Linked DNA regions of Callithrix jacchus. The protein of the gene in region 1 interacts with the protein of each later gene in a biochemical or structural test. Links are inferred from orthologs where the notes say so. Each region holds a gene or a part of one and is shown in the gene's direction. Other genes may lie near its edges.

What was found.
Region 2: the proteins of SLX4 (region 1) and EME1 form a complex in vitro, tested with the Homo sapiens proteins (3 studies listed by BioGRID, with this or other methods). The link is inferred for Callithrix jacchus from reciprocal best matches to the Homo sapiens genes SLX4 and EME1.

What each region holds. Positions count from the first base shown.
Region 1 is NC_133513.1:5,691,566-5,695,170, reverse strand, and holds part of SLX4 (structure-specific endonuclease subunit SLX4), read left to right. Parts: intron 1-2,925; coding exon 2,926-3,028; intron 3,029-3,605. UniProt on the Homo sapiens protein: Regulatory subunit that interacts with and increases the activity of different structure-specific endonucleases.
Region 2 is NC_133506.1:115,950,720-115,955,219, reverse strand, and holds the start of EME1 (structure-specific endonuclease subunit EME1), read left to right. Parts: upstream 1-1,486; 5' UTR 1,487-1,529; intron 1,530-3,467; 5' UTR 3,468-3,491; coding exon 3,492-4,266; intron 4,267-4,348; coding exon 4,349-4,476; intron 4,477-4,500. Other genes in the region: MRPL27 (large ribosomal subunit protein bL27m), read right to left, coding at 1,383-1,422. UniProt on the Homo sapiens protein: Non-catalytic subunit of the structure-specific, heterodimeric DNA endonuclease MUS81-EME1 which is involved in the maintenance of genome stability. In the complex, EME1 is required for DNA cleavage, participating in DNA recognition and bending.

The sequences.
Region 1 (3,605 bases):
ACAGGAAGAATCTGCCTTTCTCAAAGGTTCCATGGTGATAAAATGGTCATAAAAGAGAGAAGAACCCAAAGTCCCTGTTCCTCATGTGTCACCGGGCTGGAGTGCAACCTCCACCTCCGGGTTCAAGAGATTCTCCTGCCTCAGCCTCTCAAGTAGCTGAGACTACAGGCACCGGCCACCATGCCAGGCTGTTTTTATTTTTAGTAGAGACGGGGTTTCACCATGTTGGTCAGGCTGGTCTTCAGCTTCTGACCTCAGGTGATCCACCCGCCTTGGCCTCCCAAAGTGCTGGGATTACAGGCATGAGCCACCTCACGCCTGAGAGAGATATTCCAGCTCTCACAGAGTGAGAGCTTTATTTAGATATAATTCACATACCATAAAATCTGCCCTTTTGGGGCAGGTGCGGTGGCTCACACCAGTAATCCCAGCACTTTGGGAGGCCAAGGTGGGTGGATCACAAAGTCAGGAGTTCGAGACCATGCTGGCTAACATGGTGAAACCCTGTCTCTACTAAAATTATAAAAAATTAGCCGGGCGTGGTGGCATGTGCCTTTAGTCCCAGCTACTCAGGAGGCTAAGGCAGGAGAATTGCTTGAACTGGGGAGGCAGAGGTTGCAGTGAGCCCAGATTGCACCACTGCACACACTCCAGTCTGAGCAACAGAGTGAGACTCCGTCTCAAAAGGAAAAAAACAAAAAAACAAAAAAAAACTACCCTTTTAAAATGGACAGTTCAGTGGTTGTTAGTCCATTCACAGTGTTATACCATTGTCACCATCTACTTCCAGAACATTCTCATCATCTCAACAATAAATCCCAAACTCATGAACCGTCTCTCCCCTTCCCCTTCCCCTTCCCCCAGGCCTGGCAACCAAGAATCTACTTTCTGTCTGTATAGATTTGCCTGTCCTGGACATGTCATAAACAGAGCCATATGTTACTGATATGTGGCCTTTTGTGTCTGGCTTCTTTCAGTTAGCACACAGTTTTCAAGATTCATACATGTTGTAGCATGGATCAGTACTTTATTCCTTTTTATTCTGTTTTCTTTTTGTTTTTGTTTTTTTAAGACAGAGTCTTGCTCTGTTGCCCAAGCTAGAGTGCAGCAGTGCAATCTCGCCTCACTGCAACGTCCACCGTCCTGGTTCAAGCACTTCTCCCGCCTCAGCCTCCCGAGTAGGTGGGATTACAGGCACCTGCCACCTGTAATTTGTTTTGTATTTGTAGAGACAAGGTTTCATCATGTTGACCAGGCTGATCTCAAACTCCTAACCTCAAGTGATCCACCCACCACAGTCTCCCAAAGTGATGGGATTACAGGCCTGAGCCACTGCACCCGGCCAGTTTTTGAGTAGTGCTCTTGCTGTTACCCAGCCTGGAGTGCAGTGCAGAATCACAACTCACTGCAGCCTCGACCTCCCAGGCTCAAGTGATCCTCCCACCTCAGCCTCCTGAGTAGCTGAGACTACAGGCAGGTGCCACCATGCCTGGCTAATTTTTTTTTTTTTTTAGAGACAGGGTCTTGCTATGTTGCCCTGGCTTTGGGCATACATTCCTTTCTATGTCTAATTCCCACTGGTGGCATGCCAGTTTTGCTTATCCGTTCATCCATTATGAACACGTGGGTTGTTTTTACTCCTTGGTGGTTAATAATGCTACTCAGGAACATTCACATGCAAGCTTTTGTGTAGACGTAAGTTTTCATTCTTCTTGGTTCTATACTTAGCAGTGGAATTGCTGGGTCAGATGGCAACTGTGTGTAGCATTTTGAGGAACTGCTAGACTACTTCCCAAAGGACTTCACCGTTTTCTGTCTCTGCCAGCACTCGTTATCCTTGTTGTTGTAGTTGTGTTTGTTTTGAGATAAGGTCTTGCTGCACTGCCCAGGCTGGAGTGCAGCGGTGTGTTCACGGCTTGCTGCAGCCTCGACCTTCCTGGCTGAGGCGATCTTCCCACCTCAGCCTCCCGAGTAGCTGGAACTACAGGCTTGGGCCGCCATACCCAGCTGTTTTTTTTTTTTTTTTTTGTAGATTTGTGGTTTTGCCATGTTGCCCAAGCGCTCGGTGTTTCTGTCATGGCCCTCCTAGCGGGCGTGCAGTGGTATCTCACTGTGGTTTGAATTTCCCTGATGACTAATGATGTCGGGCAGCTTTTCATGTGGTTATTGGCCATGCTGTACATTTTCTTTGGAGAAATGTATGTTCACATTCTTTGCCCATTTTTTTGAGTGGGTTTTTTTTTTTCGTTATTACCTTGTGAATAACTGGGTTTTAATTGATGAAATTATTTTTAAAAAACAAAACTGATATCTAAGCCTATTTTTTTTTTTCTTTCTTTGTTCTTTTTTTTGAGACGGAGTCTCGCTCTGTTGTCCAGGCTGGAGTGCAGTGGTGCAATCTCAGCTCACTGCAACTCAGCCTCCCAAGTAGCTGAGATTACAGGCACAAGCCACCACGCCCGGTTAATTTTTATATTTTCATTAGAAACAGGGTTCCACCATCTTGGCCAGGCTGGTCTGGAACTCCTGACCTCATGATCTGCCCACCTCAGCCTCCCAAAGTGCTAGGATTACAGGCGTGAGCACGCAGCCAAGCCTGTTTGAAGAGTATCAGTGTGACCCATTGTCTCAGGTTGTCACTGTGGGTCAGACGTTTTTAAGTTTACATGTGTAAGATATTGTGACGTGCTGTGCTGCCCCAGGAGCCCTGTTCAGCCGGCATCTGTGTTATACAAGGGGTGGCCCTCAGTGCATGTCCCCGGTGCTGTAAACGGGAAAACAAAGTTCCTTTGTTGCTTTCATGGAGAAAAAGTGTTGCTTGGGTTATCTTCAGGTGCAGTATTCCTCTTGGTGACGCTACTGGGATCACACGTGGGAAATTCGGGTCCCTTGTGCTAAAACGTGTGCTTCTTTTGTTTTACCCAGAAGGTGCTAATTGGAAGAAGAATTTGCCCCCCAAAGTGCCCATAACTCCAATGCCACAGTATTCCATTATGGAGACCCCGGTGCTGAAGAAGGAACTGGATAGGTTGGTGGTCTTCCAAGCTTGCCCACAGTGGGCTTTTCCCTCCCACGAGTAACCAGGTTTCACAGGCCTGGGGGTGGGAGGGTCCCCCACGTGGTCCCTTGGGGTCCGGTGGATGCAGCTGGCCTGGGCTTGGGAGAAAGGGTCTGCGGTCTGCTTCGTGGGGAGCATGCATGACTGCTGGGTGCCAGGGTGAGCTGCCCAGTCCTCTCTGTGCACCCTTCCCAGGGAGCCAACACGTAGACTCTGGCATGTCACCCATGGGCAGCAGGTCCCCATGTTCCTTGTGGATGGAAGTGGCCCCTAGCCAGAGCAGTCTGAGTGAGGAGGCCTGATTTTTTTAAAAGAACATTGAACTCTCACATCCACATGACGGTGCTCTTCCGCTCAGGCACCCAGGGAGGCTGCTGCTGCTACCATCCATCAGAACTGGGAGCAGTATATCTTATGTCTGGTTTTTATTTTATTTTTGGAGACAGAGTCTCACTCTGTTGCCTACGCTGGAGTATGTGACCTTGGCTCACTGTAGCCTCAACCTCCCGGGCTTAAGCGATCCTTCTACCTCAGCCTCCTAGTAGCT
Region 2 (4,500 bases), on another chromosome or scaffold:
TATACCTACCTCTAAACATCTATTCATTCATTCATGTACTTACTAAGCTCAGGAACTAGGCTTTTACTTTACTTACATGATCTCATTCACCAATCTTTCATCCTACTCCCCATTCTCCTCCTCAAAGCAAATGGTGCCACCATCCATCCAGTTGCTTAGGCAGAAACCACAGTCACTGCAGATCCCTTCTCTTCGCTGACCTCACATACCCAGTTCATCAGCAAGCTCTGTGGATGCTAACTCCAAAACAGATCTCAAATTCATCCATTTTCCTCCCAGTTCACTGCCACCACAAACACCTTGGCTAAATTCTCTCTCCTCATAAGTACTATTATAGCTTTCCATCTGATTTCCTAATTTCTACTCCTATCCCCTTTAAATTTACATAAGAGCAAGAGTTTGCTTCTCAAAACATAAAACTGGCTCAAGTCACTCTCCTGTCCCTCACTCTACACAGGGCTAACTGTCCTGTAATTCTATTTTTTTTTTTTGACACAAGGCTCCATTCTGTCACTCAGGCTGGAGTGCAGTGGTATGAACACAGCTCACTGCAGCCTTGACATCCCACCTCAGCCTCCTAAGTGTCTGGGACCACAGGCACGCGCCACCACACCCAGCTAATTTTTGTATTTTTTGTAGAGACAGGGTTTTGTCATGTTGCTCAGGCTAGTCTTGAACTCCTGGGCTCAAGCGATCCGCCCACCTCGGCCTCCCAAAGTGCTGGAATTACAGGCATGAGCCACTGCACGCCTTCTGTCATTCTTTAGGTCTTAAATGTTATCTCCTCACAGGACCTTAGAGGACTTCCTTCACCGTCCAAACTAAAAAAACACACAGAGAGACAGACAGACACACACACACACACACACACACACACTCTTTCTTCACAGCACTTGCCAGTTTACAACTATTTTATGTGTTCATTTATTGGCTTCTGCACCAGAGGGAACCGTTCGGGAGTTAGAGGCCTACTGTCTTCATGTTCTCTGCAAATTTTCCGAACACCTACCTCTGTGTCTAGCACAAAGTAAGACCTCAATCTGTGGAATGATCAGATTAACTTTTTCAGCCCCAGTGTGCCAATGTTACTAATGCTTCTACACAGAAAGGAAGGATCCACCCAAACCCCCAACCGACAAGGAAGCCGTCCGTGCTCCGGAGGGAGGGTAAGGACAAGTGCTCCTCAAACTCCCTCACCCACGGCTTCACTCAGGATTTGTCACGTGACCAGCAACAGCCGGCTCTCAAACCTGGAGTGCCCCACAGACTTTCCCTTGCATTCGGGGTCCTCCGCAGAGATTAATGTCATCTCCTTCCCTCCCTGCTGGCTCTACCACTCTGCCTCCCCTGCTCGCCCCGCTCTGATTACCGCGTCCCATTACCGGCTGTCCGGATCCTTAGCGCCACCGCCGCCGACGCCATGTTTGCGTTCACCAACTTCCGGTCCCCAAAAGGTTCTACTTCCGCTATCAGTAGCTGTACTTCCGGGTCTTGTGTGGCAGTTGAAAGAGTGGCGGGAGAACTTGCAGGTGAGTATCCCCGGTCGCGGGCCTGCGGATTGGGTAGGGCTTCCCTCCTGAGTACCGCTCTGCGGCGTCTTGGTGGCCAGGGCATTTAGGAGTCTCTGCAGCGGACCGCCAGCCTGAAAGGCGCAGAGCTTATCGGGCAGGGGCCCACTTGTCCCACTCCCCTCATTTGCAGATGTCAGCGGAGCCCCAGCGAAGGGTCAGAGATGAGGCCCCCTCCTTAGTCATTCAATTTACTTTACTCAGCCAGCTGTGTGCCAGATACTGTACTAAGCGCGGTGGATGCATTATTTCATTTAATTCTCACCACCTTATAAAATGGGGCTGTTACCGTCCCTGTTTTACTAAGGAAGAAACTGAGACCGAGGCAGGTTACATGTCTCCTCCTGGGTCATACCTACAGTGTTAGTAAATGTTCAAGGAATGATTAACTTTGCACATGACCCAGCAATTCTACTCCTAGGTATATACACGCAAGGGATTTGAAAACATACCCCACTAAAACTTGTACATCAATGTTCATAGCAGCGTTATTCATAGTAGCCCAAAAAAAAAAAAAAAAAAAAAGGAAACAAATGTCCAAGTGATTAATGGATAAACAAAATGTAGCATATTCATACAATGGAATATTAGTCAGTCATAAAAAGCAGTAAATACTGATACAGGCTACATCATAAATAAACCTTGAAAACATTATGCTAAGTGAAAAAAGCCAGTCATGAAAGGCCACATATTGTGTGATTCTATTTATATGAAATATCCAGAATAGGCAAATGCATAGAGAGATTTATGGTCGCCAGGAGCTGGGGAGAGGGAGGAAATGGACAGTGACTGCTTAATGGGTGCAGGAATTCTTTTTGAGGTGATGAAAATAAATGATGATGGTTGCACAACATTGTGAAAATACTAAACTTCTGAATGTACACTTTTCAAAGGATATTATGATGTGCGAATTATATGTCTTTTTATTTTATTTTTCTTTTGAAGCAGGGTCTCACTCTCACCCAAGCTGGAGTGCAGTGGTACAATCACAGCTCACTGCAGGCTTGACCTCCCAGGCTCAAGCGATACTCCCGCCTCATCTTTCTGAGTGTCTGAGACTATAGATGTGAGCTACCACATCCAGCTAAGTTTTGTATTTTTTTTGTAGAGATGACTTCTTACTATGTTGCCTAGGCTGATCTCCAACTCCTGGACTCAAGTGATCCTTCTGCCTTGGCCTCCTAAAGTGCTGAGATTATAGGCATGAGCTACCATGCCCAGCCTTTATCTCAGTTTTGAAAAACAACAACAACAACAAAAAAAAAAACCAGCTTTTGACCAGGTGTGGTGGTTCACACCTGTAATCTCAGCACTTTGGGAGGTCAAGGCACGCAGATCACCTGAGGTCAGGAGTTTATGACCAGCCTGGCCAACATGGTGAAACTCCGTCCTCACTAAAAATACAAAAATTATCCAGGCGTGGTGGCACATGCCTGTAATCGCAGCTACTCAGAAGACCGAGGCAGGAGAATCACTTGAACCTGGGAGGCAGAGGTTGCAGTGAGTTAAGATTATGCCACTGCACTCCAACCTGGGCAGCAGAGTGAGACTCCCATCTCAAAAAAAAAAAAAAAAAAAAGTGTAACTTTTGACGTCTCCATTTCAAATGTGGACATCAACAAGGGGGTGGAGGTGTTAAATCTTGTTACTAGCCCCCATTACAATTTTGTAATGGTAACTCTACTTTGTTTATAGTCATCTGGAAAGAATTTGAAGAGGATTCCTGTTAGACTACCAGGAGTTAGAGTTCCAGATTGAATGTGTTGGGGCCATGTCATATTTCTCTGTTTCTGTATTACCTATATCTTATATTTTTCTTCATAAAGCTTGGCTATGGACCACAGCTAGTGGACTGAATTGAATACTCCAGTCTGTGTCGTATGTCTCTTTTCCTTTTAGGGAATGATTTGATAGCACATACTGATGGCTCTGAAGAAGTCATCACCCTCACTGGATTCTGGTGACAGTGACTCTGAGGAGTTGCCAACATTTGCCTTTCTGAAGAAGGAACCTTTAACAAAGAGGAGACAGCCTAAAAGGGAAGAGAAGATTGTAGTAGTTGACATCTCAGATTCTGAGGCCTCCTGTCCTCCATCACCAGGCTTGAAAGATTCACCACCTGTCCCAGACACAGCTGAAACTGTCACACAAACACAGTCAGTCAGTTTGCTGTGCAGTGGAAGTGAGGATGAAGAATCTATTCCTCTAGCTCAGAGGCTTATACATAAATTTCTGACCCACAGGCAACTGAGCCCTGAGGACTCTAGCTCCCTAATTAAAAGTGTTTTGGATTATCAAAATAATGAAGGTGTGTCATGTGACTGGAAAAAGCAGCCCTTTTCAAAGATCCCTGAACTTCCCCTCCATGATACTCCAGAGAGGAGTGCATTAGATAACAAGGACCCAATCTTAGATCCATGCCGTCAGCTTCCAGCCTACCAGTCTACCTGCTCTGGCCAGAGCAGCAGCTTGGCAGTAACCAAAACAAATTCTGAAATCCTCCCACCCCAAAAGAAAACCAAGCAGAGTCAGAAGGTCCAGGGAAGAGTCTCACAGGGATGCCAGCAGCAGAGACAAGTAAGGCAGAAGGAAAGCACCCTGAGACAACAGGAAAGACAGAAGGCAGCACCGGTAACCAGGATGAAAGCCCAGAGGCCAGAGGAATGTTTAAAACACATCATTGTGGTGCTGGATCCAGGTTCTCGCATGTGTCTTTGTCCTTTGCTGAGTTGTCTGCTTTCTGGACCATCCACTGACAGTCCCTTTTCCATCTGTTGCAGTGCTTTTACAGATGGAAGGTGGGGGCCAGCTCCTGGGAGCACTGCAGTCCATGGAGTGCCGCTGTGTGATCGAGGCGCAGGCCGTGCCTTGCAGCGTCACTTGGAGGAGAAGGGCTGAGCCATCTGTGGTAGGTGTTTTCTGACATTTCCTC